7 linked regions of the Mus musculus genome follow. The protein of the gene in region 3 interacts with the protein of the main gene of each other region in a pairwise test. Links are inferred from orthologs where the notes say so. Each region holds a gene or a part of one and is shown on either strand. Other genes may lie near its edges. The genes, in order: Trim54, Abhd16a, Dtx2, Ncs1, Spg21, Glyctk and Arnt2.

Region 1 (3,500 bases), about 100 Mb from region 3:
TTAGTTTCCACTCAGTTCTTTGTCAGATCTATGTTCAGCTTGCTTTGCTTTGGTTTTTCTTCGATCGGGCCTTTTCATGTTATCCACACTGGCTTTGAATCTGTTATCCTCTTTCCTTGGCCTCCCTAGTAGCTGAGATTACAGTGTTCGCCACCACAACAGGCCACTGCTGCTACATGGTCATTTTGCACTTTTGTTTTTTTTCAGTTCTGGGGATCTATCCGGGGCTTTGTGCTAGGCAAGTGTGCTATATCTCCAATTCTACCTTTTGTTGTTGTTGATGATGATGATGATGCTGTTGTTTTATTTCATCTTTTTTTCTATTTTTTTATTTTTTAAGATTTATTTGTTTTATGTATATGAGTACACTGTAGCTGTCTTCAGACACACCAGAAGAGAGCATCAGATCCCATTACAGATGGTTGTGAGCCACCATGTGGTTGCTGGGATTTGAACTCAGGACCTTCTGAAGAGCAGACAGTGCTCTTAACCACTGAGCTCTCCAGCCCCACTTTATTTTTCTTTAAAACAGGGTCTTTCCTTATACAGCCCAGGCTGGCTTAGAATTCTTTATGTAGTCTAGGCTGGGCACCCAGCATCCTGAGTGCTAAGACTTACAGAGTGCTCAACCATGCCTGACATTATTCTATCTTCTTAAAAACATCGTGTACATTGCAAGTTTCTGTTCTTTAATAATTCCAACATCTCAATTCCCTGAGGGTTTGAAGGGTTTCTGCTAATTGCACTCATGTGGTCCATTTCTCTGTGTATCTTCCATTGTGATTGTTGTGTTGATCTTAATCTAAGGGCCTGCATTGAAGGCATCTTCTTCCAGCTTAACATCTGCATTTGTTTCTGACAAGAACCAGGTGATATAAACGACTTCTTTGATATCTTGGGACTTCAACACAAGCTGAGGTTTGGGGAGTCTTAAATGCACCTCTACCTACACATGTTTTGCAGGTTTTGCGGCATGGCCTCTATCTCTAGCCTGTACTGAGCCAGCATTGGTCATGTGATGAATGTTATCTCTCCTGCCTGCAGGGGCTCTCTGGACCTGCCCTTCCCACCTCCCACCACCACCCCCCATCCCCACCTTCCTAGGATGCCCTTCTCCTCTCAAAGGCCAACTGGTGTGATCTTAAAAATCTCAGCATATCTGGAAGTTAGCTGTGTAATTTCACACTCTTGAGCGTATCTGGTCCTTTGGTGGATACCGTCCTGAAGTGGCTCCCGTTAGATATTAACTAGCTGATGCTGTGGCCATAACCATTGTCTTCACCTTGCCTGACCAGAGAAGGCAGTCAGGGTCAGGGAGGTCAGGTAACTGCCTCAGGGTCGTGTGCAGAGTAGAAAGCAGAGCTGGGGATTTGCCCTGACCACCCCTTACCTAAGTACAGTGAGAACTGCCCAGTCCTAAACCCTTTTCCCGACCCCTCCCTGACTAGATACCTTCTGGCGTTTGTAAATGGTGGGCAGAGGGGCCACCTCACAGTCCTTGTGGGCGCCGAAAACCTTGCAGAGAGAGCAGGTGGGCACCTCGCAGCTCAGGCAGTAGATGTTGATCTTCTCGTCCTCGTGCTCCTCACACATGAGGTGCTGTTCAGCCTTGGCGTGCAGTGGCCTGAGGATCAAGGGCAAGGCAGCAGCGACTGTCAGGGAGCCAGACTGTGACCAGTGGTCGGAAACTTACACAGCGTTCTCACTTTGGGGAAGAAACGATGCTCAAAGGAGACCTGGACCCAGGAAGAATCTATTCCAGGGGACAAAGATGTCACGCAGGACAGGAAGTCATGGGAGCTGATGAGGTCAAGAACATTGAGGTAGACTTTGGTCCCAGACCAGGAGGAGGGAGTAAGATTGAACAGTGTTTCCAGAGGCAAAGTCGGGCCTCCCTGGAGGCCTCCCCTCCTCCCTAGGTCTTCTTTCCCCTTTGTTGTCCTCCTCCCTCTGCTGGGGGGATGTCAGCTTACACAGACTAAAATCATCTGAGAGGAAGGGACTGCAATCAAAAAAATGTCTCCAAAAGATGGGGTTATAGACAGCCTGTGAGGCATTTTCTTATTTAGCCATTGATGGGGGATGTTGATGGGGGAGCCCACTGTGGGTAGGGCCATCCCTGGGCTGGTGGTCTTCGGTTCTATAAGAAAGCAGGCTGAGCAAGCCATGAGGAGCAAGCCGGTAAGCAGCACTCTTCCATGGTCTCTGCATCAGCTCCTGCCTCCGGGTTCCTGCCCTCTTTGAGTTCCTGTCCTGACTTCAGGAATGTCTATGATGTGGGAGTGTGAGGCAAACACAGTGCTCCACAATAGCAATGGAAACCCTAAACTGCCCCTCTATCCCCAAGGGTGCAGGCTCTTCCCTCCAGAGAGGCCAGCAGCCAGGCATCTATCTTACCGGGAGGACTCCTGCTTGTAGATGTCAATGATGTTCTCCACTAGCAGGTTCCGCTGCAGGCCATAGACACCATGCCTGTCCAGGACAACCTCGTGCCTACAAGATGGGCATCGGAAACGTCCTCCTGAAGACACCGTTGTGGAGCCCCGGGATTGCCACAGAGGATTAGAGGCCTGAGAAGACAGGTGACAGGACACTAGAAGTGTAAGGAGGTGTGAGGGAAGGCAAGTGGTGAGCTGACACGGGAACATTAGGTCTTCTCTGCATTTGGTGTCCCCAGACAACACTCTGACAGACGATTTCCTGCCTTGGCCTCATCCCTCAGCTCAGCTCCTTGAGTGTCCCCGCACACAGAGCCTCACTTTGGCCCAGGCCTGATCACTATCTTCAATGGAGTCCAGCATGGGGCTTTGACAGGAATGCTAACTGTAGGCAAGAGACTGGCAGTATAGCCAGTGTCCTCCAGCTTGGACCCTTATGAGCACATGTAAGGTGGTGCATATGTACATGTGCATGTATGTTTGGCAAGATAATATAATCTTGTCTCAAACTCCACGTGAATGGAAGATAACCTTGAATTCCTGATCCTTCTACCTTGACCTCCCAAGTATTGGGCTTATGGCTCTCTCTCTCTCTCTCTCTCCCTCTCTCTCTCTCTTTCTCTCTCTCTCTCCTCTCTCTCTCCTCTCTCTCTCCCTGAGACAGGGTCTTATGTAGTCCAGGCTGGCCTCAAACACTCTGTCTAACTACCTGCCTCTGTCTCCCAAATACTGAGCCATGAGAGTGCTTCTCTTTAGTCCCGGGAAGAGTCACACAACTCAAGTGCTGAACAGGGACAGAGGAATTGCAGCCAGGCTCGGGATGTGGCTCAAGTGGTAGAGGCTGCCCTAGATTTGATCCCCAGGGGCAGAGTGGCGCACTTGGGAGGTAGAGGTAGGCGGGTCTGCTCCATAGGAGGTCTAACATCATCCTCAGCTACATAGGGAGTTTGAGGGCAGCACAGGATGAATGAGACCTGTCTAAAAAAGAAAAGGAGAGAAAGAAAGGCTGGACATGGTGGCACTGGCGGCTTAGCTGAGGCTCTTTACACTGTGTGTCTTAGA
Region 2 (4,197 bases), on a different chromosome or scaffold from region 3:
CTCAGGCTCTGCGCTGGGAGGACAGGAGTGCTTGGGGCCTGGCCCTTGGTCCCCACTGGCTGTGTGCTGACTTGCAAACATGGTATATGGACAGACTTGGTGTCATGCCAAGGACAGGCATGGGGTCGGTTTGCTGTGGAGATAAGCAGAGCTAAGCAAGGAAAATGGGGGTGGGGATGGGGAAGCACCTTCAGGAGAGAAGCTGAGGAGGCAGAACCGTACACCACAAAGTACAGTTATAAAGGAGGGGCATTCTGACCACCACCCAGGCAGCCGCCCGCAGGAAGGCCCGGGTGGGCAGTGAGAGCCATGGTGGCTGTGTGAACACTGGGCACAGCACACGAAGGGTCTGGACTGTGGGCCCAAAGTGCACGATAGCTGAGGCAGGGAAGTTAAGCTGGCCTGAGCAGGGTCTCCCAAGCTCACCCTCCAGGGCTTCTGCTCTCCCCGCCCAAGCCACTAGCTGTCTGGACATCTGGAACATCTCATAAGCAGCCAGATTGTAGAAAAAATACCTTTTTATTAATTATTAGGAATAAATCATTCATTTAATGCAGGTGTGTATGAGGGGAGCTAAGTGCTTCCACATAGATGAGGGAAACGTGCAGGAGGACTGTTGGCCAGAGGGGATGTCCCCACGGGCCAGACTATAAACAGCAACATGAAGAGAGTCACAAAAGTATCCCCTCGTGTCTCCTCCTATCTTGTCCTTCCAGAAGAGTCTACACGTGGTTCTAGAGGTGCCAGGGCATCTGGAAGTGCTGGGCCGGGAGTGGAGTGCAGTGTGTGGCCTCAAAGTTGTGTAGATGCTTCCGGGCCTGAGAAAGGCAGGTCAGGTCAGAACAGGGCAGCTTCCCCTCAGAAGCCACGCATCCACCCACTCTAGGATCCCTGCATGAGCTCTGTATGAGCCCCGCTGTGCAGGCCCTGCCCCTGCCCTGCCCCTCACCCAGCTCCTGAGCTCACCAGGAACAGCGCCAGCTGCCTCCGTCCATCTGCACTCATGTCCTCCCCTGCACAGGGAGAAGAGGCCCTCAAATCCCTGCCTGGGACGTCCTTCCTCTCCTCCCAGCCCTCCACACCATCCTTACCCACACTCCAGGGGAAATCAGGCCCATGCTCTGCCTGGTAGGAGCGAAGCACAGACACACACCAGTCCTCCTCCACCTCCCAGCGACTGTAAATGGAGGCTGATGGGAACAGAGGAGTGTCCTCAGCAAGCTCTCCTTGCCAGGCCCCTGCCCACCAGCCTCTAGATACCTCACCTTCCTCTAGCTGGGAAGAGGCCTCCAGCCACTGCCTCACAGCTCTGAGCCCCTCCTCCACCATCACTCGAGGGTACCTTGGGAGGAGCACAGGGTGGGACAGAATGGAACCAGTTCACGCCTCAGCCCCCACCTCATCCTTCCGCCTCACTGGTGTGAGCACTGAGGTGTGTATTCCCACAGAGCTCACCGGAACTGCAGGAGCTTCAGCAGGAGGTCATTGCCTCTGTTGGACATGATGTCCTCAGGGACCCTGGGGGCGACAAGAGTTAACCCTGGTTGGGAAGCTGTGTCCATGGTGACAAAGGTGGGAGAGAAGGCAGAGCCCGGGTACTCACGTGGTGGTGATGATCTCGTCCTTGGTTCTCCGGACCAGCAGCACGGGGCCCTGGAACCTTCAGAACAGAGCAGCAGGGAGGGAGAGCTCAGAGAGCCAGGCCACAGCTGAGGCAGGAGTAACAGATTTAAGGGCACGGGCTCAGTCTGGCCCTGGGAGCCAGGCTTAACCCTTCACTGCCACATCATGAGTGAGCCAATTCAGGGTCTCCTAGCCCCGGGAAGGGTTGGGCCAGCTCGGGTAGTGGCCGCTTGCTGACGGGCACGGTGGCCACCCTCACCTGCACAGCTGCTCCGAGTTGTTGAGGTTGAGATGCTGCCTCACCGTCCTGGTGACCAGGGCTCCTAGAGTGGGACACCGTGAAGGACGCAGAGATGAAGAGCTTGCCTAACCTAAAGGTCCCACTGTCCACTGGGCAGGGAAGCCCTGTTTCTCGGCAACGGGGTGGCCTATCTCCACCCACACAGTGACAGCACCCAGTCAGAAGAGGCCTGTGCTGCCACCCTGACGGGAAGGACCGGCAAGGGAGCTGCACTCACGCCAGCTGTCCGGCATGACCTTCAAGGCCAGGGGCACCAAGTCATCGAAGGAGGCGTCCAGGATAACAGCACTGATGTCTGGGTAGGACATGGCTGCCCACGTGGCTAGAAGCAGAACAAGAAATAGGATTGGGTCCCTTCATGTAGGTCTTATCAACTTCCAACCTCTCTCTCTAAAAGCCTCCATCCACCCCCTCCTTGGGAGCCACCCGTGCCTGTGCCCATCTCTACTGCGCAGGGACGAGTAGGGGAGGCAGATACCAGTGAAGCCTCCAATGGACCAGGCGTAGATGACAATGTCCTGGGGCTGGAAGCCCAGGCGGTGGATGGCAAACTGAACCACCACATCCATGGCATTGGCCTCGTTCTGTGGGAATGGTACCCCCTGCAGGGAGACGGGCAGAAGCAGGAGGGGTCAGCCAGAAGACAGCTCACCTAGTGTGGACCCTTCTTGCAGCCACCCTGTAACACACAGAGATCATGTGACCCATTGTGTCCCTGACTGCCATGGGAGGAGGGGCTGCAGCTCCCCAGCACCCAGGTCACAGGCATGTGGAAGGCCCTGCAGAAATGGGCACCAGGTTCCTTCTTCCCATGGCTGAGCAGAGGAAGATGCACAGGATTCTGGAAAAGGACAGGTCTTCAGAGAGGGTCTCACCGTGCTTCCTGCAAAGCCTGGATGATTCCAGCCCAGGACAGAATAGCCAGCTGTAACACATGGAGGAGGGAGGGAGTCAGGGAGGAGTGGGGGGGAATCATGCGACCGTGCAGCGGGGCAGGAGGACAAGCAGCCCAGGAATGAATGCAAGGTTAACAGGGCGGGAGTGGACCTTCCCTCACAAGGGAGAGACCTGGACCTCACCCTGATGAACGGGAGGGAGGTCAGCATGGGAGGAGACACATTCCGGTCCAAAGGATAGAGATAAGAGGTGTGAACCACGAGCCTACCTTCTAGGGGTGTGGAGACACAGCCCACCTCATAGAATCCTGCATTCCCCTCACAGCAGATGACCTGGGGAGCAGAGAGAGGAGGGGTGGGAGAGTGCTGGGCGGGACAAAGGGACTGCAGGTGCTATGCACAGGGCCTCAGGAGACTATGGAGGCTGAGTCTAAGTCACCAGCACGGAGGCCACTTCCCCTGAGATGCCACCAGGAGAGCTCTGATAGGATGTGTCTGGGACTCTCCTAGGTGTGCAAACATTTTTCTCCTCACCGCCCTCCATGGTGTTCAAGCCAAAGCATGGGGATGGTGGCAAGTGGGCGGGCGGGCAGGCAGGCGGGCGGCAGAACCCAGCCCCCTGGCCGCCTGTGCAGTGCTTTCCCAGGCCAGTGCTGCCTTAAGAGCTGGGCTCCTCAGCTCAGGCTGCAGCGCTGCTCCTCACAGCTGTGAGAGCACCTGAGATAACCCACAGGCTGGTCCTGCATGTGTCAATGCTATTTCTGTTTCCTTGAGGCAGGGTCTCACTAGGTAGTTCAGGGTGGACTGGAACTCAGAATCTTGCCTGGGCCTCCTTCATCACCATCCCATCTACTCTTTGTTACTGTAGGACAGGGTCCTGTTTATCCTGGTCAGGCCTTGAACTCAGCCCAGGGATGACAGAGTGCACCATGCCTGGCTTTAGGTGAGCTTCCCGAACACTAGGCAACTCTCTATACCTGACTTCACTTTGGTGATGAACTGCCATCAGGCTGCATACGCTAGCTACAGTGACATCCCCAGTCGGCTATGATATTCTCATCTTTAAACTGCAAACTCACCATGTAGCCAAGACCTTAAACGTGATCCACAGCACGTGTGTGGCGGTGAGAAGGACTCCTCCCCTGTGTCCCCTTGCCTCCGACTTCAAGGCGGGGTCTTTGTTGCCTGTGGCAGTGCTGTATACGCCAGCTGGCAGGGGGTGCCCAAGGCGTCTCCCGCCTCCCTCCCACAGGAGAGCTAGGACTACAGCTCTCATGGTCACCATGCCAGGCTCTATACAGGTTCTCAAGATCAGAACTCAGGTCCTCTCGCTTGCATGGCCAATACTGCACCCGCTGAACCATCTCCCTGGCCCTG
Region 3 (3,500 bases):
AGTATCTATGTCTGCATGTGTGTCTGCCCATGCCATGTCTGTGCATTTGTGTTTGTGTGTGTATCTGTGTGAGTACATGTGTCTATGTTGCATGTGTGTATCCATCTGTCATATGTGTTTGTCAGTGATGTGTCCATGTCATGTTTGAGTACGTATATTTGTGTCTGTGTATGTGTCTGTACATGCCTGTATTTGTACCTACGTGGGTGGATGTGTCTGTGGTATATGTATGGCACGTCTGGTGTGTTTATGTATATTTGTACATGTCTGTGTTGCTGGACATGGACCCCAGGGACCTCACATATTCTAGGTATGGGCTCTACCACTGAGCTACGTCCCCAGCCTCAGTTCTTTCCCCCCAACAATTCACCATCATCACTGTTGGTAGACAGTCAAATGGCTATCTGACTCAGGACTAGCAGATCCTATTTTTTCCAGCTTTCACTGCAGGGTAAAGAGGCTCACAAGGCAAGCGGGGCATGGTGGCACACGCCTTTAATCCCAGCACTCGGGAGGCAGGTGAATTTCTGAGTTCGAGGCCAGCCTGGTCTACAGAGTGAGTTCCAGGACAGCCAGGGCTATACAGAGAAACCCTGTCTCAAAAAACAAAAACAAAACAAAAAAAAAAAAAAGAGGCTCACAAGTCAAAGGACGTCAAAGGTCTAAGTCACAAAGCAAGGGCCCACCCTCTATAGCAAAAGAGGTTAGCAGCTTTGTCAAACGTGGCTCATACTTGATAAGGCTTTCTTTTTCTCTGCCTTTGAGACAATTTAGACTCAAAGTTTTATAAATACTCCATCCTTAGCCTCCCAAGTACTGGAATTACAAGCAAGCAGAATATTCTCAAAACTACCACAGCATACACTAGTGTATGGCATACATACTGCATGCCAGCCAGTCTGCTGAAGATGATGGAGCCAAGAGAGCCTCCACATGTACTCCCAAATACATCTGTTACTACTACATGGTTCATTCCTCCAGGTAATAGCTGGCTTCTTTTAAGACAAGATTTAATGCATCCCAGCCTTACCTAGAACTCACTATGCAATCGTCAAGGATGATTCAAGCCTTGAACTCCTGACCCTTCAGCCCCCATCTCCAGAATGCTACAATTACAGGTACATGCTCATCGAGGATTTTATGCAGTGCTGGGGCTAGAACCCAGGGCTTCCTGCCCAGGGCTTCCTGCTTGAGAGGTAAGCACTCTGCCAACTGAGCTATCTCCCCAGCCCTGGGTGCTATTACTAATTAGAGCAGGCTCCGATCAGATGTGTTCATGTAAAGAACAGTAATGGAGGGTGTGTCAGTCACAACCATAACCTAAAGCCTAACTACCCAGCCCAAAGCCTGGCACTGTAGGGTACAGCGGCTCACAAGACAAAGGGCATCGAAGGACCAAGTCACAAACCAAGGGCTCACCCTCTAGAGGCAGAAGGGTCTTACCAGTGTTCTGGCGAAACTGAGTCCAGCTGGGGAGGTCGATGATGTAAGGGGCCAGTGAGGGGTCAGCTTGGCCTAAGGGGATGCTGTGGGCCAGGCTTCCCAGTCCAAAATGCTGGCCCCTCTGCCGGACAAAATGCTGCTCAATGAAGGAGCAGACAGTGGCACTGTAGGGGTGCCAAATGCCAAGCCCATCCTGCCATTCCCACACAGCCACCACCACGTGGCTAGGGTACACCTGCGGCAGAGACGAGCTTGGGGCCATGGCCATCTTCTGCTTTCTCTGAAGACTTCACACCACGCTGGGTTGCAGGTTCAGGTTCATTGCCCAGCACCTCTGGGGGACCTAGAAAAAGACACAGTATTTACTCACACACATTGGGGACCTTGTCAGGCAGCTAAAGAAAACCTTTTCTTTTGTTCTTTTGAGACAGGGATTCTCTGTGTATCCCTGGCTGTCCTGGAACTCACTCTGTAGACCAGGCTAGTTTCCAACTCAGAGATTCACCTGCCTCTGCCTCCCAAGTGCAGAGATTAAAGGAGTTTGCAAACACTGCCTGGCTGCCTCAATACCAGCTTTTCTCTACCACCTTCAGGGTACCTTGGATCAACTCTTGATCCCTATCTCTTGTTCTAGCAGACAGGATAATTAAGTCATTCTTGGAGAGGGTGAGCCAGCCCCGGGGTGTGAGAGCTGACCCCGCCCCTCACCAGCTACAGCATTTGGGAAAGCAGCCCACACCTCACCAGAGCCCCAGGCGCCACAGTAGAGCTGATCCTGGTGACATGAGTGAGGGAGAGCTGGCCCTGGCCCTGGCCCTTGCTTGCTTCCCCATTGGATTATCTAGCCAGGGCAGTGCTATAGAGTTCACCCTGATGGTATAGGTGTGGGAGAGCTGGCAGGCTGACCACCTCAGCTACTACCTAGGCCCAGATCCAGGGCTTTGAGCTGGCCCAGCCCAACAACTACCCCATCTATGAACTGCTGAGCATGTGAAGGGACAGGTCCTGCAGATCCAAGGCTGCAGGTTAGCTGTGAGGAGTCCCAGTAAAGAGCCAGCATTGGTACTGTAGTAGAAGCCAGAAGACTCGAACCAAACCAAGGACTCATAGCAATGAACTGAAGTAAAGATATGTGGACAAGAGGGATAGACTGTGGGACAGACACACTGTGACACACCACAGCTTCCACGATGAGATAATTTTTGTTTATTTTTTATTGTTTATGTTGGTGGGATGTTGCAAGGTCAGATGATGTGAAAGAACAGGGAGATGAGTGGGATTGAGGCACACATAGTGTGAAATTTACAAAGAATAATTGAAAAAATCTTAAAAGCCATTCCTGTTCCTTACCTCCACTTCAGCAAACATCCCAGATGGGAGCACAGTGAAAGTGGGGTGCTGATCTGCCCAGTCATTTCCTTCTGATTCTACTACTTTCTGCTCAGTGTTTTCCGTCTTTCCCTCCTTCCTTCACATGTGGGGATGCACACACAGAAGACCTACCCATGCCACACACCCCAGCTCCTCTCTGCTGAGCCATGCCCTGGCACTCAGTGTATCTAAATCACCCCAAATCTTTGTGGACAAGGCCACAATGACTCTGTATGTTTGTGTAAGAGCCCTACAGTTCCCAATTCAGGACTTATTTGTGAGAGTACACCCTACTACAGCATCCTCACAGGTGTTCTGTAGCCCAGAACAAGGGTTCCAAGACACTCTTGAGACAGTAGCTTAGGTAGGACTTACACACAGGTTCCTAGGCTGGGGAGATAGACAGTTTGCTCTAGGATCTAAGGATCCAAGTTTAGACCTACAGAACCCACAGAAAAGCTGGGCATGCTTGCTATCTGTAATCCCAGTGCTATAAAACAAATAGGTGAATCTCAAAAGCTTGCTGGCCACCCAGCCTAGCCAAAATGGCAAACTTCAAGTTCAGTAAGAGTCCCTGTCTCAGCAGTAAGATAGAAAGTGATGAGTCCTCCTCTGACCTCTGCATACACAAACAGGCACACACTCACATCTTTACCACACAAAAACATGAACAGCTAAGGGACTAT
Region 4 (4,043 bases), on a different chromosome or scaffold from region 3:
TGTTGGTTTGTGTGTAGATGTATTCTACCCTTTCGATTGCAGCTGAAGGCCAGAGGTCAATGCTGGATGTTACAGCTTTCCACCTTCCTTTGCTTTTAAAGGTTTGTTTTATTTTTAATTATGTGCAAGGAGCTTGGAGCAGTTGTGTGTGTGAATACAGAACCCATAGAGACCAGAGACTGTGGCTCACATTGAGCTGGAGTTACAGGCAGTTGTGAGCCACACATGTGGGGGCTGGCAATTGAACTCTGGTCTTTAAGGAAGAGCAGTGCTCATTCCTAACCGCTAAGCCATCTCTCCAGCTCCTCCGCCTTATTCTTTGGGCTGGTGTCTCTCAATGAACCCAGAGCTGGCCATTTCACTGGACTGGCTGGCCAGTGAGCTCCCAGAATCCCTCTATGTCTGCCTTCCCCGTGCTGGAGTTATAAGCATGAACCACAGTATCCAGCTTACATAGGTGTGTGCTGGGGACCTGACTCGGGTCCTCATGCTTGCACAAAGCATCTCTCCGGCCTCATAATTCACACTGTCAAGAACTCAACTCCAGAGCTCAGCCCAGACCTAAGAGAAGAGCAAGCCAAGCAGCAGGGATAGGAGATGGTGACATTTGGGAATCCTTCCTGGATGATGCGTCCCTTAACTCCCTACTCAGTATTTCCCTGGAAGAGAGGGGAGAGAGAGAGAGAAAGAGAGAGAGAGAGCGCAGCTGTGGACCAACCACATAGACTTGCCTGGAGGGAGCTGGTGTTCACAGGGAGATAAGAGAGAAGCAAGTGAGTCCCCCAGCCCTAAGTGAGGCCTTGGATGAGGGGGAAGTGCCCAGACTGCCTCAATCCCTGAACAAAACTGCTCCACATCACAAAAGCCCTTTAAAAATAGCTCAGCGGAACTTCACCAGGCCAGTGCCTGACAAGAGTTCTGCTGGCCCCATTCTTCCCAAGTTAATGGCCAGCCCTTCAGAGATGGGGCTGAACGAAAGGTCTTTCAAATCCAGCACTGGGCCAGGGTAGGAAAGAGAGGCACAGAGGGCTCTTGGCATAAGCCAGGGATGCCAGCTCACATCTCCCAGCCTTGCCTTCCTCTCTATGAGCAGCTGGAGTGCCCAGAACAGGACAAGCTGTTGATGTACAGCTGTGCTAAGGACACAGCCGATGGTGCATGACACACTCAGTAAGCAGGACCCTGACTTCACAGGGCTCATTGGTGGCCCCCAGCCTCACCATCATGGAGACAGCATGGTACACCACATGCCATGGTTCCTGGAGAAGTCCATGGAGCCCTCTACCCTCCCCACACCCTGGGGTCCTGGCCCGTTCAGGGAGGGAGGGTGTCCCACCAATAGCCTACCTGCTAATGGCTGTGAGCCACACCTTCGAGGGTCCAGTTAACCTCACAAACAGCAACAAGCTAGAAAAAGCTACCCACCCAATCTGGAAAGAGAGAGTAGGCAGCCTGGGCTGGGAAGGATAGTTCTCCTGGATGTGACCTCCAAGGTGTCCAACTCCTCAGGACAGGGGCCAGGAGAGCCCAGGCAGTAAAGCCCCCTTTGTTCTAAGTCTGGGAGAGTGAGGAGCATGGGGCTAAGGCACTAGGTTGACCAAGACCTGCAAACGTGCTCAGAAGACCGATACCGGGGGTGGGGGTGGGGGTGAGAGCAGAGACCATGCACTGCACCAGAGCCTCCATCTACACCGAGCTGTCAGTTAACTGCCTGTCTTTCCGGGTGATGCAGAGCGCTCAGCCAAAGCTTCCCAGGACCCACTTCCAGGGCCACCCCTGGAGAGGCTGCGAGGAGGGGGGACACCTGGTGTGGAGGCACTAAAGATGCAGAGGCAGATCTGTGAAGTTGGGCAAGTGGAGAGCCACGCCTGGGACTGATCTAGTGGACCGTGGAGTGGGACAGACCTTCCTTCGCTCGTCAGCTCGGGCCATGTAAACCCATTTCCTGGTGCGGTAGAGACAGGAGAAGGGAAGGGGGGATGGAGAATACAGCCCAACCGTGCGACATCTAAGAGGGCGCCCAGGACCCTTGGCCCTCTACCGTCACTACCTGAGCGTTCTACCAGTCTCGCCAGCCCTCTTCCTCCCAACACAGTCACACTTGCCAGGGAGGGGGCGACAGGCCAACCTCGCAAGAGGCAGGAGCCGCAGCAGCATCATTAAGCATGAATCACCCACCCACCCTGCTCCAAGCAGGAGAGCCACACAACGCCCGGGCGCCCCCTCCTGGGACCACTGCCCCCCGCCCCGGCACAGCCCGGGTCCTTCGGACAGGAGGGGAGCAGCGGGTGGGCTGCGGATGCCCTGAGGACCCAGAGTGGTCCCTGGAGCACGCTGACAGGCGACACCCAGCCATGGCCGGGGGCGGGGGCGCGGATAGAACAATGGGCCAGGTGCGGGGCAGGGGCGCGGCCGGGAAGGGCGGAGGGAAGGTCGCGGCTCGATGGGGAATCGGGGATCTGGGATCGGGGCTCACTCACAGTAGGTTTTTCTGGTCAGCTCCTCCACAACTTCAGGCTTCAACTTGCTGTTGGATTTCCCCATGCTCGGCGGCCGCGGCCCCCGCTCCCCGGGCCGGACCCGCTCGGGGCGCCCAGCGGGAGCGGTTGGGTCGGGCCGGGGTGCGCGGAGGCCGGCAGGCCGGGCTGGGCCGGGCCGGGGCCGCGCCTTTGTCTGGCCGTGCCCGCGCGTCCCGTGCGCGGGGCTCCGGCGTGCTGCGCGACCGCGGCTGACGGTTCAAGGGGCCTCGGGGACCCGGCGAGGGCCAGGCCTTGGCGGTGCAAGCGGCCACGGCGAGGAGTTGCGCGGGGCTGAGAGCCGCAGCCGCCGGGGCTCGGTTGCCGCGGTCGTCCCTGGTTACTGGGCTGCGTAGCACATGCTCGCTACTGCTGCGCCGCCGCCGCCCCTACGCTCCCCGCCTCCCGCCCGCACCGGCGCGCCAGGGGTGGACTCGGAGCCGCCACTCATCGCCCGGCGCCACCTCCCGCCCAGCTCCGACAGGCGCGAGCTCCGCGTTGAGGCACCCCCTCTCCTGTTGGCTCTCCGGGGACGCTGGGAGGTCGCCGCACCGCCCCCTCCGCCGATCCATTCCCCCCTCTCCGCAGCGGCGTGGGCAGGGAGGGCCCGGAAAATCGGACGTGAACGAGGCCAAATCCCTGCCCGGCGCAATTCATTCATTCCACTTAGATGTGTTGGGCGCTGGGGACCTGGCGGCCAAGAGGACAGACGCGATCCCAGACCTCTCCAGGAGCATCCTGATGTGCTGGCTGGCATGGGTTTCGGTGGGAACACTTTTGCCTGGCCTTGAGGGAAGTGACTTCAGATTGAGAGAGGAATGGGGTATCAACCTGGAAGGGGTCTGGCCTGGGAGGGAGAGCAGCCTCTACACCCGGGGCTCCAGGCAAGGCTGGGAATGATCTGAGGCCAGGCAGAAGGGCCAGAGCTTCTGGAGACCAGCCTGGCAAGCCGCTTTCCCCAAAGACCTGGCCTCTGTCCCCGGTGCCCAGGAGTACTTGCAGTTCAAACCTTCTCTGTTGTGGGGCTTGCTTGAAGTGGCCAGAGGGAGCAGAGCCTGTTGGTGGGGCTCCATGCCTGGAAGCCTGCAGCTGGGGAAGGACTCCAGGAAAAGGATGGCCTGCTCTCCCCTCCTCCCAAAATGTCATCGTAATTGAGACCTCTCCTGACTTTCTGCCCAACTCTGTCTCCTTAACAGCTCAGGAAAACTTGGACCTCTTAGTCCATTGGCGCTTGCTTCTTCCAAAGAATGAGCCTCAGGGGGAGGGGAGCAGAAATATGTCTTGCTCTCAGAAGGCCCTGAGGGCCAGTGGCAACTTCTGTGAGCCAGTCTTAGTAGCAGAGGCCAGGGAGCCAGCCCAGCTAAACAGGGAAGTGGGTGGGGAGGCAGTAGGATCCCTGGTTCACAACTGGCTTAGACAACATTAGGAGGAAGAGTTCTCAGGGAAAGGCATGAAAATAGATCGGGTAGGGGAGGAATGACCCATGCCAGGAACCAGAGCCCTGGAAAGACCATGGCAAGATGAAGC
Region 5 (4,241 bases), on a different chromosome or scaffold from region 3:
ATGAACTAACCAGTACCCCCAGAGCTCGTGTCTCTAGCTGCATATGTAGCAGAGAATGGCCTAGTCCGCCATCAATGGGAGGAGAGGACCTAGGTCTTTCGAAGAGTCTATGCCCCAGTATAGGGAAATTTCAGGGCCAGGAAGTAGGAGTGGGTGGGTTGGGGAGCAGGGGGAGGGTATAGGTGATTTTTGGAGAGGGGATAGCATTTAAAATGTAAATAAAGAAAACATCTAATTAAAAAACAAAAAAAAAAACTAAGCCATTTAAACCATTTTTAGCACATCTTTCACCATTTAAAACTGCTTTATTTGATAGCTTCATACATTTATGTAGTACATTTTAGTTAATTTAACTCTCCTGTCTCCCTTTAAGTTATTACTTTAAAATAAAAGCAACTAGCGGCATATACAGTTAATCCTGGAATATTTTATATCAGGACAGACTTGAAATACCACCACAGCATCTGTGCACTTCCAACTGGAAACATTTTCTAGAATGTCTGCAGGAGGGAATATTAAAGACAGGCTAAACAGCCAGGTGTGATGGCACACATCTTTAATCCTAGCCCTCAGGGGCGGACAGCTAGCTCTCTGGGAGTTCAAGGCCATCCTGGTCTACATAGTGAGTTCCAGGCCAGCCAGAGCTATGCAGTAATAGTAAGACCCTGTCTCAAACACACAAAGCTAAAACATCAATCAACTTGTTAAAGTTTACTTCTAGGATCGACCAACTTACAAAAAAAAAAAAAATTATCCACAGTTTTAATAAGATGCCACTCACAAACCAAACTAGGTACAAGCACACAGGCAGGCACACAAATGAGCTACCTACTTCTTTCCCACAGTGGCCGAAGGGTAGTCCTTACCGGGTCTTCAGTATAACTCACAAGCAGCTCAGTACTGACCACATTGTAACTAATCTTGATGCATAAGAGTTCCTACACAGCTGTGAGGACACTTTTGCAAGGACAGGTGATTCTAACACTTGTGCTGGTTGGGTGGTGAGGAAAGGTGAGACAGTTACCAAATGTTGCCAAATGTTGCGTAGGACCAGCTGACGGCTAGGAAGAAAAAAAAAAAAAAAAACCTGCTGCAAAGCTAAAGCAGCTGTGAAGGGTATGAAAAGGAAAGTTTGTTCTAGCTCTCTTTCATCCACTTAAGCCGGATGCTTTTCCAAGTCACAAGAGAAACATTCTTAAAAAAAAAAAAAAAAAAAAAAAAAAAAAAAAATCTGTGGCCCAGAAAGTTAGCTGAGACTGTGACCAAACTGGTCAGGATGAAAAGAAACATGGGCAGTGTGTTCAGGACAGATTTGCTTTCTCGTGACTCTGTTCTTTACAAAAAACAGAAGCACCTGTTCAGGCTGGTGAGGAAAGAGGCAGAGATAAGCTTTATCAAGGAAACCCCTCCTCCCGCTGGCCAGGATGCTAAGGCTCCCCAGCTCTTCTTGGACCTTGCGTTGCTGGACAGTAAGTTGGCTAGTTGTGAGAGAGCATGTACTTGGCCTTCAGAGTTTCAACAGAACCTGCAGTTCATAGCTGAGGAAATCGCCTCTACAAATGTTTAACACACGGTCAGTCACATATTGCTGGTCCTTTATCTCAATGTATAGGTGTCTTATATAGGGACAATCTGTGGTTGTTAATACAACCAATTAAAAAGGTTATTAGAACTAGAGAGCCTCTAGGTGACATAACTATGGTTCTCGGTGTTGGGGAACGCTCACCATGGGCTTTTACCACTGAACTACACCTAAGGCCCTGCGGCGGGCTGTTCACTACACATCTTCATCCTTCACCACACCTATATGTATTAAATAGCCATCTTTTTGGAGATTTCTTCAGGTAAGATTTATCCTTTCTCCAGGAACCTATCCACTTCTCTCTAAATATCATGAGAGGAGACGCTGCCCGCACATCTTTCTCTCTGACCACTCGTTTCAAGGTTCTGGTGTAAAATCTTTTTGAAAACTCATACACAGCTATTAGACGGCTTCCCAATGTGCAGAATCCTTGCAAAAAGAGAAGCTAGACCACTGCAGATGGAGACAAAACAACATCAGCCCCTAACTTCTAACTCCCTGGGAAAAGAAGAAAAAAGGGGGGGGGGGTTTCTCTCGCCCTGCTACACTCTTCATGACTCTTTCACAGGCCTCACACCTAGTCTGAGGTAGGATCTTTAAAACAACTCTACTCGCAGCCCTTAAAAGTTGACTGAAACCAAAATGCTCCTGAATTTCTGCCCCAGGATGGGTGGCTCAAGAAAATGAGGATGTCTGACTAAGGATTTTGGGCACCAATCGCCATAGGGGCCGCCCTGGGTTCCACCAGTTCAGAAACAACAACAATCCGCAATGAACCGAGGCTGAACCTTAGACAGACCCACAGGCACAATCGGACACACACAGGCGCCCGCGAGAGCGCACCACACGCACACACAGAGATATGGATCACGTGCATGGTCACAAGGACCTGCCCACTCGTGAACTCTGCTCGTAAGTCACGCATGCTCGATACACGCCCACCTACAACCCTACACGCACCACACACCCACACTCTTGCTTTCCAGGGCCTGCCCCTCACCTGCCGTGGCCGCTCCCGCGTCCCTTTCTTTCCAGCCTAGACGGATCTTCGCCCCGATTTGGGCGCAGAGGATGGAGTCGGCGGGGCGCGGACTGGACCGGCGGCCGCAGATCAGGAGCCCCGCGGGAGCAGCGGGCAGAGGGGGCGCGCGGCCGAGCAGCCAGAGGCCACCGCCTCCCAGCTTTGGTACTGCGAGCTCCCCGGGCGCGCCTCCCGCTTCCGGGTTCCGAGGAGGCGGGACCAGATGGCGAGGAAGGGGCGGGGCTCTGGTGGTTACTATGGCGACGGGGCTGGCAAGGGAGGCCCTGTTCTGAGATTTGCGGTGTCCTAGAGGCTGTGGAGGCTGGTGGTGGATAAGGGTCAGTTCTTGGTCACTTCTGACAGGAGCATGGAGGAGGAAGTGAAAAATCTAGGCTGTAGGCCCCGGGGATGTGCTTCTGACTTCGGTTTTTAGGCGTCTTCATGCTTTGGTGGGGAGACACTTTTGGTCCATAGCTTTGGTGAATAGGCCTTGACATAGTCTTTTTAAAACATTAGTATATATCAGTTCATTACAATGGCTTAATTAGGACATTTTGATACCTATATAAAGAATTTGGATCATCACCCTCCCTTAGTCTCTGCCTCCCATGTCCCATTCCCCTTCAGCCTCCCAACTGCATATGCTTTCTCAGCAAAATTGTTTTTACCTTTTGTATAGACGCTGTCCTCTGACCTCCTTTCAAAGCCTTGTCTCCTTTTATGGCTTTGTGCTGATGTTGAGGGGGTATACTCAGCGCTGGTTTGCCCTCTTCTGTCAGGCACAGTCTAGTCACTGTTCTTACGAGAGATGTGGCAGATGCCACAACACCTTTCAGTTAGCTTACAGCTTTGCTCTGAAATAATGCATAATAATATTGAGTGACCTGTCAATCTTGTTTGAAAATTTGTAAGGTTCCTAAAGCAAGATCCTAATGTTTTAGGGACTTTTAAAAATATTTTTTATTATTATTACTTTTAATCGTGTGTGTGTTTGTGGGAGAGAGAATATATGGTGCACATGAGTGTAGTTTATAAGGAGGGCAGAGGAGGATCCTAGAGCTGGCATTACAAGTGTTTGTGAGTTGCCTAACACGGGTGTAAAAGTAATATGTATTCTTAACCTCTGAGCAATCTCTCAGCCCCCACGTGTGTGTGTGTGTGTGTGCGTGTCCCTGTGCCTGTGCATGTACGTGTGCGTGTGTGTGTGTGCGTGTGCCTGTACGTGTGTGTGTGCGTGTGTGTGTGTGTGTGTGTACGTGTGTGTGTTGATGCCTGCTGAGGCCAGCTTTGGACCCCCTGGAGCTGGAACTGCAGATGATTAAGATGGATCAAGCCTGACTGGGTACTAGGAACTCAGCTTTGGTCCTCTGGAAGAGCAGTAAGTTTGTTAACCACCAAACCATCTCTCCAGGCCTAGAGAGCACAGACGAAAACAATGACTCAAAAAAACAAAAACAAAACCACAAAACAACCAAACACTGATCTATGGCTCAGGAGTCTTAGGTTCCAGTCTAGAACTTAGACAAACACCAGACACATTTTCCCCAATGCATAGTGATGTCTCGGCTCTCAAAAAGGTGAGGCAGAAGGATCTCAAATAGTGGTACTGTATCTCAAAGCTAACTGAATTGTTCAAAA
Region 6 (4,269 bases), on a different chromosome or scaffold from region 3:
AAGTGTATGAGTCGTTATTGGCGAGGGAGGTGGCGATGTCCAGGCTCTCAGCAGAAGCCTGGCTGATGAGATCAGACATGACCCAGGCCCCGGCCACCTTTGTAGGCCCATCCTGCCCATCAGTGCCTCCACTCAAAAATAGCACATCAATAGGTCCCAGTGGCTGCCTTCCCAGCTCCACTCCCACGTGCAAGGCCAGTTCTTGGTTCCGACCGCCCTTGCCAGATCCCTGCAGCTGCACCGTGGGCTCACCACCAGCCAGGAGGCAGACCGGCCCTTTAGCCTTTACCACCGCTTCCAGAGCCTCCTCCAGCTGCAGGTCCGGGAGCTGGAGCTCAGCTGCCAGCTGATGGAGTTCCGCCTCCTCCTCCAAGGGACGCTCAGCCAAGGATGGAGTGAGGTGGGCTGCAGCCACCCGGGCTAGCAGCCCGTAGAACCGAGCCACTCTTTTTACATCACCCTGCATGGCTGTGCTCAACACCATGGCATGGTAGCCCAGCACCTCGGCTTGCCTCTGAGCCTCAGCCAGCGCCAGAGAGTTAGAGCCGATGATCACATTGAGGACGTGGCCACAGGTGTGTGGTCCATGGGGGTCAGAGTCAGCTCGGGAGAGCACAGTCTTCACAGAGCGGGGAAGAGCAGCACGGAGGCCATAGTGGTTGAGAATATGCAGGCAGTCTTGCACACTGTGGGTGCTGGCCACCGTAGGGCCACTGGCAATCACTTCCAAAGGGTCCCCAATCACATCTGACAAGATGAGGCTTATCACCTAGACAAAGGCCACAAAATAAGGTTCAGTCTTGCCTCCTCCGTGTTCCGGGGCCCTTAAGGACAAACTGGGCCTGGGTATACAGCATCTGGTATGCTTCCTTGCCCACATCTACCCACATCTTGCCACTTTCAGGTGGGCTGGCAGAACACCTAACCAGAAAGCCTCCCTCTTACTCTCTCTAGGCTTCCTCCCAGGACTTTCCAGGCCAGGCCCCTGCCAACTCATATGTTGGCTTAAGCTCTCATCTCCCTGTCACGTGTTGGGAACCCAGGGCCTACTGAAGAAGTGATTAGTGCACCTGAGCAGGATAGGCAGCCTGAGCCAGCCCTCCACCCTTCAGCTGCGACAGGGCCTTGCGGATGGTGTTCAGCTCCTGGATCGTGGCTCCTCGGGCTGCCAGCAGCTTGGTGAGCATCTGTTTCTCCTCCAGTGTGACAGGTGGGATAGGAGCAGGCAGCAGGGCTGAGCCCCCACCTAAAGTCAGTGAGAGTGTCAGGGAGAGGAGACAGCCCGACCCAGAGAACCAGGCAAGCCATAAGGAAGGTCCTCTAAGAAGGTGGGGTTACAGTGCCCCCTTGTGGACACAGAGTGAAGTTGTCCCCTAGTAGGGGTATACCAGATCCCAGGAGAAGCTTGCTAGCAAAGTGCTTGCCTAGCCTGTGTGAAGCCCTGAACTCTATCCCCAATACCCCCCAAAAATTTTTGTTTTTAAATTTAACTAAGAAAGAGCAAGAAAAAACAGCAAATAAGCAAGAAGAGAGATCCATGGGGTCTGGAAACTCAGCTTCAGGAGCACGAATGACACCGCTGCAGACAGCAATGTCTTCCAAAGGTTCTGATGTGTGTCAGTGTTAGTACCCAGCTGTGCCTTCACCATTACAGATGTTCAACAGGGTGAACTTCCAGCTGAGGAGAGGTGACCAACCTGACACCACTCACTAGGTACCCTCCAGGTTCCTCACTGTCTGCCATGGTCCTGACTTCACCCTGTGACCATATGGTACTCGGGGCACCCCTGTCGGCTGGTCCCACACCTGAGATGAGCACCAGCAGCAGGTCATCTGCAGTGAGCCCCTCTGCCAGCTGCTGGATGGTCAGCGCGGCCCGGAGTGCATCCCGATCCGGTAAGTTGTCCTCGGCGCCCTCGAACACCTGGATGCGGCTGTGTGGCTTCAGCAGCATCTCTCTGAGAAGGGAGAAGGGATGGGGGTGGGCTCCTCTCCTCCGACCTGACTTCTCAGCTGTACAGGTGAAAGCGGCCCACTGATAACCCATTTAGAAACCAGGCCAGACCCAGGAGATAGGGAGATCAAAGAGGAAGGGAGGTGTTCTTCCAAAGGACAGTAGAGGGCGTCCCCCTGCGCCCATAGACTCTTACTTCTTTCCAGCATGTTCCATAGCGGCTCGGATCCCCTTGGGTACGCTGATCACACCCTGCACAAGATGCTGAGCCAGCAGCTCCTCGGCAGCAGCTGCCATGCCCAGTACGGCCTTGCCGAAGCCCACTAGGTAGAGGTTTTCCCGCAGCTGGAAAGTCCGGTCCCGCACCTTCAGCTGTCTGCCACTAGGATCCAGGGACAGTGTCCTCTGCAGCATGGGGCCTGGCTGCACAGCACCCACTGCACTATCAAACAGCTGCCGTGCCTGTTCTGCCAAAGCCATACCACTGGTCATCCGGGCCACTGGGGGCCCCCAGAGGAGTGGACGGGATGGGGCTCGGAGGAGACAGGGCAAGACCTGTAGGGCCGCAGCCATGCCCCGCTTCTCTCAGCACAGCCTCGTGTCCATAGCTGCCTAGAGAGGGAGGAGAAGGAGTGAGGCCACGGACAGAACCCCACCATCCATCATGGCCACCCCTCCGAGGGCTCAGGACTGGCGGACTCCATAACCTGAAATGAAACCTGGAGAAGTCATGAAGCCTGCAGCAAACCTGATCTTACACCAGCCCTGAAAGCCCAGCCCTGATGCCCAGCCACGTCCTCTTCTGTAGACCACACACCAGTCTTCTGGACACTCTGCTCCAAGTCCAAAGTTCCTGTTAAGTGGACCTTCCTCCTAGGTCACCTCCTTTGCCTAGAAGTTAATCATTCATGAAGGACGCCGTTCCTACCAGCAGGCCCCTGGGCCATTCTTCTTCCACATCCTGTACTTCCAAAGCCCTCACACCACGGCAGTGCCCCCTTTCTGGCATTTATGCCTTAGACGTTCCTTTACCACTTCTACTGCCAAGAAAAAAAAAAAAAAAGGCTATTGGTTGTCTAGCCAACTGACCCGGAGTCCATTGACCTCTAGCCTGCTCTGTTAGCTCATACAACCAGTCTGGCAAAGCTGGGTCCATGTGGAAAGGCTGCAGATTTACCAGTGCACACAGCCTAAGGAAGCTCAGGACTCAGGCTAGTTCAGCAAGTGGTCCAGGCACGAATCAAGAGTAACCACAAATCTCACTCAAGGTCAGACCTTCAGCAAGTCCCCAGGTTATAAGCAAAAGGACATGTGCTATGGGGCTCAATCTATAGGACAAGACCAGACACCCTTGTCCCCATACAGCTGGTCATGATCAGCCTTGCCAGGAACATCCCTTTCTGGCTCCATGATAGCAAAAAACAAGTCCTGAGTTACACCCTTCACAACAAAAACAGCCCAGTGCTAGAGCAGGCAAAGGCCGGGTTCCAGTAATGAAGCCCAAACAATCATTTTCTCCACTGGGCAGAGTGAAGGACAGAAAGGTCTTGGGGTAAAGGTCGGGAAGCTACAGCGTAACTATACAGGAACAATAAAAGACTCAGCTGCAAAAAGATATCTAAGTTTAGGGACAGGAGGGTACTGAAGACTGTGCCCGGGCTGTCCATGTAACGAGCGAGCATGCGCTCTACCACTGAGCTACATTCAAGCCCCTAAAAAGGTAGAAAGACAACTGTATCCGTAAGCATGGGTGGAAGAGGGCGGAGTCTAGGGATGGGGTTCTAGCTTTTTTTAAAGCGTGTATTAGTATATCTTTTCTCACACTGAGCTCATTTGCAAGATGTGGGACACAATGAAGCCTAACTCTCACTTTTCAAGGGAACTTGAAAGTGTAGTCCTGTGGGAGAGACCTTCCCTAGCATGCATAAAGTCATCCAGTTCTCCATAGTGCTTGGGAGACTGACGCTCGTATTTTCCTGACACCTAGGGCTTTCTGATTCTCTGTACAAGCTGACAGAGAAAACTCCAGGTAACAGTTTATCCCACTCCTAAACAACGTAGCGCCTGCCAAACCTCCGCCATTTAGCCTTGTAGTTCCCAGCTAGCTTTCCCAGAAACTACTGTTTGTAAAAAGGAATACACAGGGCACTGCCGCGGGACGCCTGCAAACATGTTCAGTTTTCATGTATGGGATTCCCCGGGCTTGGTACTAAACACATCTTAGCATCCAAAACATAAAGCTCAGTCCTAGGTGAATTTTGTATCTCTTTCCCAGAAGGGCAAAAGCCTAGAAGGTCCCTATTAGAATTCAAGGG
Region 7 (3,500 bases), on a different chromosome or scaffold from region 3:
GAAAACAAGTAATAAATTAAGCCCATATTCCAGTGGATGGCAGCAGGTTCCTCTCTTATAAAGTGGCCCACAGGTCTCTTTTCTTATGTCCATTTTCTCCATTTCCAGGATTACAACATAGTCTGGTGGGGAGAATTCCCCCCCCCACCCCCCTTCCAGGCCTGAGGAGTCCACAGGCCTCATTCTTAATTAGCTCTAACTCACCAAAGTGTGACACTTTGTCCTTTGCTTCAAGACTCTCCTGTCCCCTGTGCTCACCATAGGAGGCAACAGTGACTTGTGACAGGTGCCTGTCCAAAAGTGTGTGCACTATTATGGTGGCCATTCTGCCAGGCTGCCTCTACCTCACTGTTCCTGTCTGAATTATTCTCTCCTTAAGTTACTTCCCATATCTAATTCCCATAGGCCCTGCACAGCTCTGGAGACCATCGCTCATTTTCAAGGTCTTCTGACTTACCCTTGTTTTCATTTATTTGCATACCTGGGCTTCCCAAGTGGCTCTTCAAAGCATCATTTGCCTTATGTGCTCAAACGAATTGCTACTCACGTTCATGGATCCTGGGGGAGAGCTGAGGCCTTATAGCAGGACCCAGGAGGCCTCAGACCTGACCTGGCTGGTCTCACTGCCTGCCACTACCTCCTTTTCAGCCCTAGGAGTTGCAGAGGTTCCTTCTGGTAGGCACACTAGTGTGTCTGGTACAGGCCCATGCCCCTAGCATGTTCTCTCATTTCTTCTGTATTCTCCTTTTAAACTCTTGTCAGCTGCTCTCTCCTCTGGGAGCTGCCTCTTCTCCCAAGTCACCCTCTCTAGCCTTGCTGCTTGGGGAGACGCCTCAGAGCCTGCCCTCCATTCCTGCCACATAGCAATTCCTCATGGGTCTTACCCCCATGCTTGAAATCTTGCCCAGAATAGCTGGCTGACACTGTAGTTGAGCTTGGTGGCTCACAGTAGGCCTTCATCCCTCTAGCCCTCCCTCACCCCAGGTACCTCACTAGGCAGCAACAGCAGCAGCAGCAGCAGCAGCAGCAGCAGCAGCAGCAGCAGCCATGAACAATACCTGTTGGAAGCTCTCCCGTAGGTGGCTCTGATCCTCAGGGTGGCAAAATTCCAAAATATCCTTTCCCAGAAGGTCCTAAAGGGGACAGACAGCTTTAGTAACCCCAAAGCCCACTCTCTATCTCTTACCCCTACCCTGGAGACAAAGGTGGTGTTTATACCCTCCCCTTGAGCCCACCTCCTCTTGCCTGCCCATCGCAATCTTAAACATAAAATGGTCTTCCTCCTCCTGTCTGCTGAGGAGTTGGCTTCCTTGCATCCATTCTAAATTCCCCTGGCTCGTCCTCACTTCTAATTTTGCTTGGGCGCTAGATCAGCAGCTTTAAAATACAACTTTATTTCTGTTTGCCTTGGAGAGGCAAACTGCAATCAACATATTTTTAAAAACATCCAAAGAAAGCTCAAGGACAGACATGCTGCCTACGAAAACTGAAACTGTTTAAGTATGGAAACCAGTGGCTGAATGAGGCTATAATAACTGTGCCTGCCTCAAGTTTGTTCATTATTGACCTTCACTAGTCTAGGTGCTATTTGAAAGATCCAGCCTTCGTCTAAAACTTGTGTGTTTCACCTTGAGTAGGAGCAGAATAAAAAAAAAAACCATCAAAGAGCAATTTTGACTGTGCTCCAGGGAAGTGTCTTAAACAGCAAAGGATGTAAGCATTCTCAGTGATGAGAACCTGTGTGAACACACGGTGTTGGAAGTGAGCCGACTCAGCAGCAAAGGGCACTTCCTATGCCTCAGGAGCACCCAGACACTTCAGGGAGCTGCTGCAGGATGCATAGGTCCGTCCAGAAATGCACGGCTGTCAGGGGTCATTGACTTTCACTTCATTCTATCTGAGAGGTCATAGTTTGCATGAATCTAGCTTCAGAATTATAGAAAGGCTCTAATAATTTTGTCTGAACCAGTTCTAAAATCTACACACGGGGCTGATTCAAGCACAGATAAAAGTTAAGTAAATAAAATAAAAATACACATGCAATTAAAATAACTCATGTTAACATATCCCAAAGCTTCCCAAAGTCTTTTCCTTAGAACAAAGAGACATGTTTGTATGTAATTTTTAAATGACTTTTTATTTTAAGAAACTATAGAAAAGGTAAAAGGATATACATGAAATAAATACCTGCATATCATTGCATCGATTCAATTATATCATTATGTTATTAATATTTTTTATTTTCTTTTAAAAAATATTTTCTTTATAGATGTTCACATACAAATGCAGATGGGAGATAGTCTCTCTCTCTCTCTCTCTTTTTCTCTCTTTATCTCTTAACAATAAGTTGTAAATCCCATAATATTTCTCTACGAAGTCTTTCAGCATTAATATAATAAATGTCTCATCAGACTGCAAAACCAAAACATGATCATACCTAAGAAACCAATACTGATTTGATATCATCTCCATACTCCTCACACTTGTCCCCTAGGTGTCTCCTCTAGGCAGAGATCCTCAGGCTTGGGACATGAATCATGCTTTTGTACTATAATATGTGGTTGTGGTCTCTTGGCTTCTCCTGGGTGGCTCATACCTTTCTGTGTTTCCCATCCTTTTTCAGAAAGGATCCAGAGAAAAGATCTGAAAATATGTCCTAAGTAAAAGATTTCCTGAGGCAAACACCCCTTAGGTATCTTGACAGTTGTCAGACATACAGAAGCTTTGTAATAAAAATAAACTGATATTAACTCCCATCCTTTGTGACAGTGGTGCTGTCTTACAATGAACAGTGTGGCTTGTGAAGGATGTCAGCCTGGCTAAACAAGGAATCTGGACTCCTATGTCATTTCTCTATGATGTCATTGTGCTGAACCTTCAACAAGCAAGATAAATACCTTTTGAGTGAAGTTACATCTTTCACCAGTATCAGGAGCTCAGGGCTAGCCACTGACCTGGGGCTGGTAGCCAATCACACTGATGCATCTGGGGTCCACAAACGTGATAATCCCATCAGAGTTGTGCCGTGACAGGAACTCTGTGGGCACTGACATGCCGCTCATGTCCATGCACACAGGAGAGCTGGTCACCTGGGATGGAGGGTTGATAAAGATGCAGATGAGGACATGGCAAGAACCCACACATCCTGCTATGCCACTGCGAAGATGAGCGTGAGGAACTGAACTAATGCGTGGCCGCTTTCTTTACATTTATTAGGCCATGGGGATAATGAATATTTACAACAAGCCATAATGCCACAGGGCACTTGTGATGATAAAAGATATTGCACACTATGCTGGCAAATGGTTCGGGCTCAGCAAATGTTGTCTTATCGCTCTCTCATCTTCCCCTCTGAAATTGGTGCAGAGACTCTAAAAGTATGTGTTTCTGGACTGAATTCACCCCAGCTACTCTTATGTCATGCACCCGAGAAGAGATCTAGTGTTTGTTCTATGTGAATTAAATCACTTATTCATTTGTTTGAAAATGGTCAGGCTTAG

The links.
Region 1: the proteins of Dtx2 (region 3) and Trim54 interact in binary tests that used the Homo sapiens proteins (3 or more experiments, as listed by UniProt). The two-hybrid records come from large-scale screens. The link is inferred for Mus musculus from reciprocal best matches to the Homo sapiens genes DTX2 and TRIM54.
Region 2: the proteins of Dtx2 (region 3) and Abhd16a interact in binary tests that used the Homo sapiens proteins (3 or more experiments, as listed by UniProt). The two-hybrid records come from large-scale screens. The link is inferred for Mus musculus from reciprocal best matches to the Homo sapiens genes DTX2 and ABHD16A.
Region 4: the proteins of Dtx2 (region 3) and Ncs1 interact in binary tests that used the Homo sapiens proteins (3 or more experiments, as listed by UniProt). The two-hybrid records come from large-scale screens. The link is inferred for Mus musculus from reciprocal best matches to the Homo sapiens genes DTX2 and NCS1.
Region 5: the proteins of Dtx2 (region 3) and Spg21 interact in binary tests that used the Homo sapiens proteins (3 or more experiments, as listed by UniProt). The two-hybrid records come from large-scale screens. The link is inferred for Mus musculus from reciprocal best matches to the Homo sapiens genes DTX2 and SPG21.
Region 6: the proteins of Dtx2 (region 3) and Glyctk interact in binary tests that used the Homo sapiens proteins (3 or more experiments, as listed by UniProt). The two-hybrid records come from large-scale screens. The link is inferred for Mus musculus from reciprocal best matches to the Homo sapiens genes DTX2 and GLYCTK.
Region 7: the proteins of Dtx2 (region 3) and Arnt2 interact in binary tests that used the Homo sapiens proteins (3 or more experiments, as listed by UniProt). The link is inferred for Mus musculus from reciprocal best matches to the Homo sapiens genes DTX2 and ARNT2.

The regions. Positions count from the first base shown.
Region 1 is NC_000071.6:31,130,112-31,133,611, reverse strand, and holds part of Trim54 (tripartite motif-containing protein 54), read right to left. Parts: intron 2,571-3,500; coding exon 2,398-2,570; intron 1,625-2,397; coding exon 1,453-1,624; intron 1-1,452. UniProt on the Homo sapiens protein: May bind and stabilize microtubules during myotubes formation.
Region 2 is NC_000083.6:35,099,291-35,103,487, reverse strand, and holds the end of Abhd16a (phosphatidylserine lipase ABHD16A), read right to left. Parts: intron 3,154-4,197; coding exon 3,090-3,153; intron 2,850-3,089; coding exon 2,800-2,849; intron 2,604-2,799; exon of another isoform or gene 2,527-2,603; coding exon 2,403-2,526; intron 2,247-2,402; coding exon 2,142-2,246; intron 1,947-2,141; coding exon 1,883-1,946; intron 1,710-1,882; exon of another isoform or gene 1,661-1,709; coding exon 1,604-1,660; intron 1,519-1,603; coding exon 1,456-1,518; intron 1,343-1,455; coding exon 1,266-1,342; intron 1,191-1,265; coding exon 1,092-1,190; intron 1,014-1,091; coding exon 967-1,013; intron 819-966; coding exon 735-818; 3' UTR 501-734; downstream 1-500. UniProt on the Homo sapiens protein: Phosphatidylserine (PS) lipase that mediates the hydrolysis of phosphatidylserine to generate lysophosphatidylserine (LPS). LPS constitutes a class of signaling lipids that regulates immunological and neurological processes.
Region 3 is NC_000071.6:136,008,300-136,011,799, reverse strand, and holds part of Dtx2 (probable E3 ubiquitin-protein ligase DTX2), read right to left. Parts: intron 1,787-3,500; 5' UTR 1,712-1,786; coding exon 1,444-1,711; intron 1-1,443. UniProt on the Homo sapiens protein: Regulator of Notch signaling, a signaling pathway involved in cell-cell communications that regulates a broad spectrum of cell-fate determinations.
Region 4 is NC_000068.7:31,244,680-31,248,722, reverse strand, and holds the start of Ncs1 (neuronal calcium sensor 1), read right to left. Parts: upstream 2,801-4,043; 5' UTR 2,545-2,800; coding exon 2,481-2,544; intron 1-2,480. UniProt on the Homo sapiens protein: Neuronal calcium sensor, regulator of G protein-coupled receptor phosphorylation in a calcium dependent manner. Directly regulates GRK1 (RHOK), but not GRK2 to GRK5. Can substitute for calmodulin. Stimulates PI4KB kinase activity.
Region 5 is NC_000075.6:65,459,496-65,463,736, reverse strand, and holds the start of Spg21 (maspardin), read right to left. Parts: upstream 2,801-4,241; 5' UTR 2,583-2,800; intron 1,037-2,582; exon of another isoform or gene 833-1,036; intron 1-832. UniProt on the Homo sapiens protein: May play a role as a negative regulatory factor in CD4-dependent T-cell activation.
Region 6 is NC_000075.6:106,155,339-106,159,607, forward strand, and holds the start of Glyctk (glycerate kinase), read right to left. Parts: upstream 2,801-4,269; 5' UTR 2,528-2,800; coding exon 2,151-2,527; intron 1,959-2,150; coding exon 1,807-1,958; exon of another isoform or gene 1,655-1,806; intron 1,247-1,654; coding exon 1,071-1,246; exon of another isoform or gene 770-1,070; coding exon 1-769.
Region 7 is NC_000073.6:84,281,039-84,284,538, forward strand, and holds part of Arnt2 (aryl hydrocarbon receptor nuclear translocator 2), read right to left. Parts: intron 3,090-3,500; coding exon 2,955-3,089; intron 1,134-2,954; coding exon 1,059-1,133; intron 1-1,058. UniProt on the Homo sapiens protein: Transcription factor that plays a role in the development of the hypothalamo-pituitary axis, postnatal brain growth, and visual and renal function. Specifically recognizes the xenobiotic response element (XRE).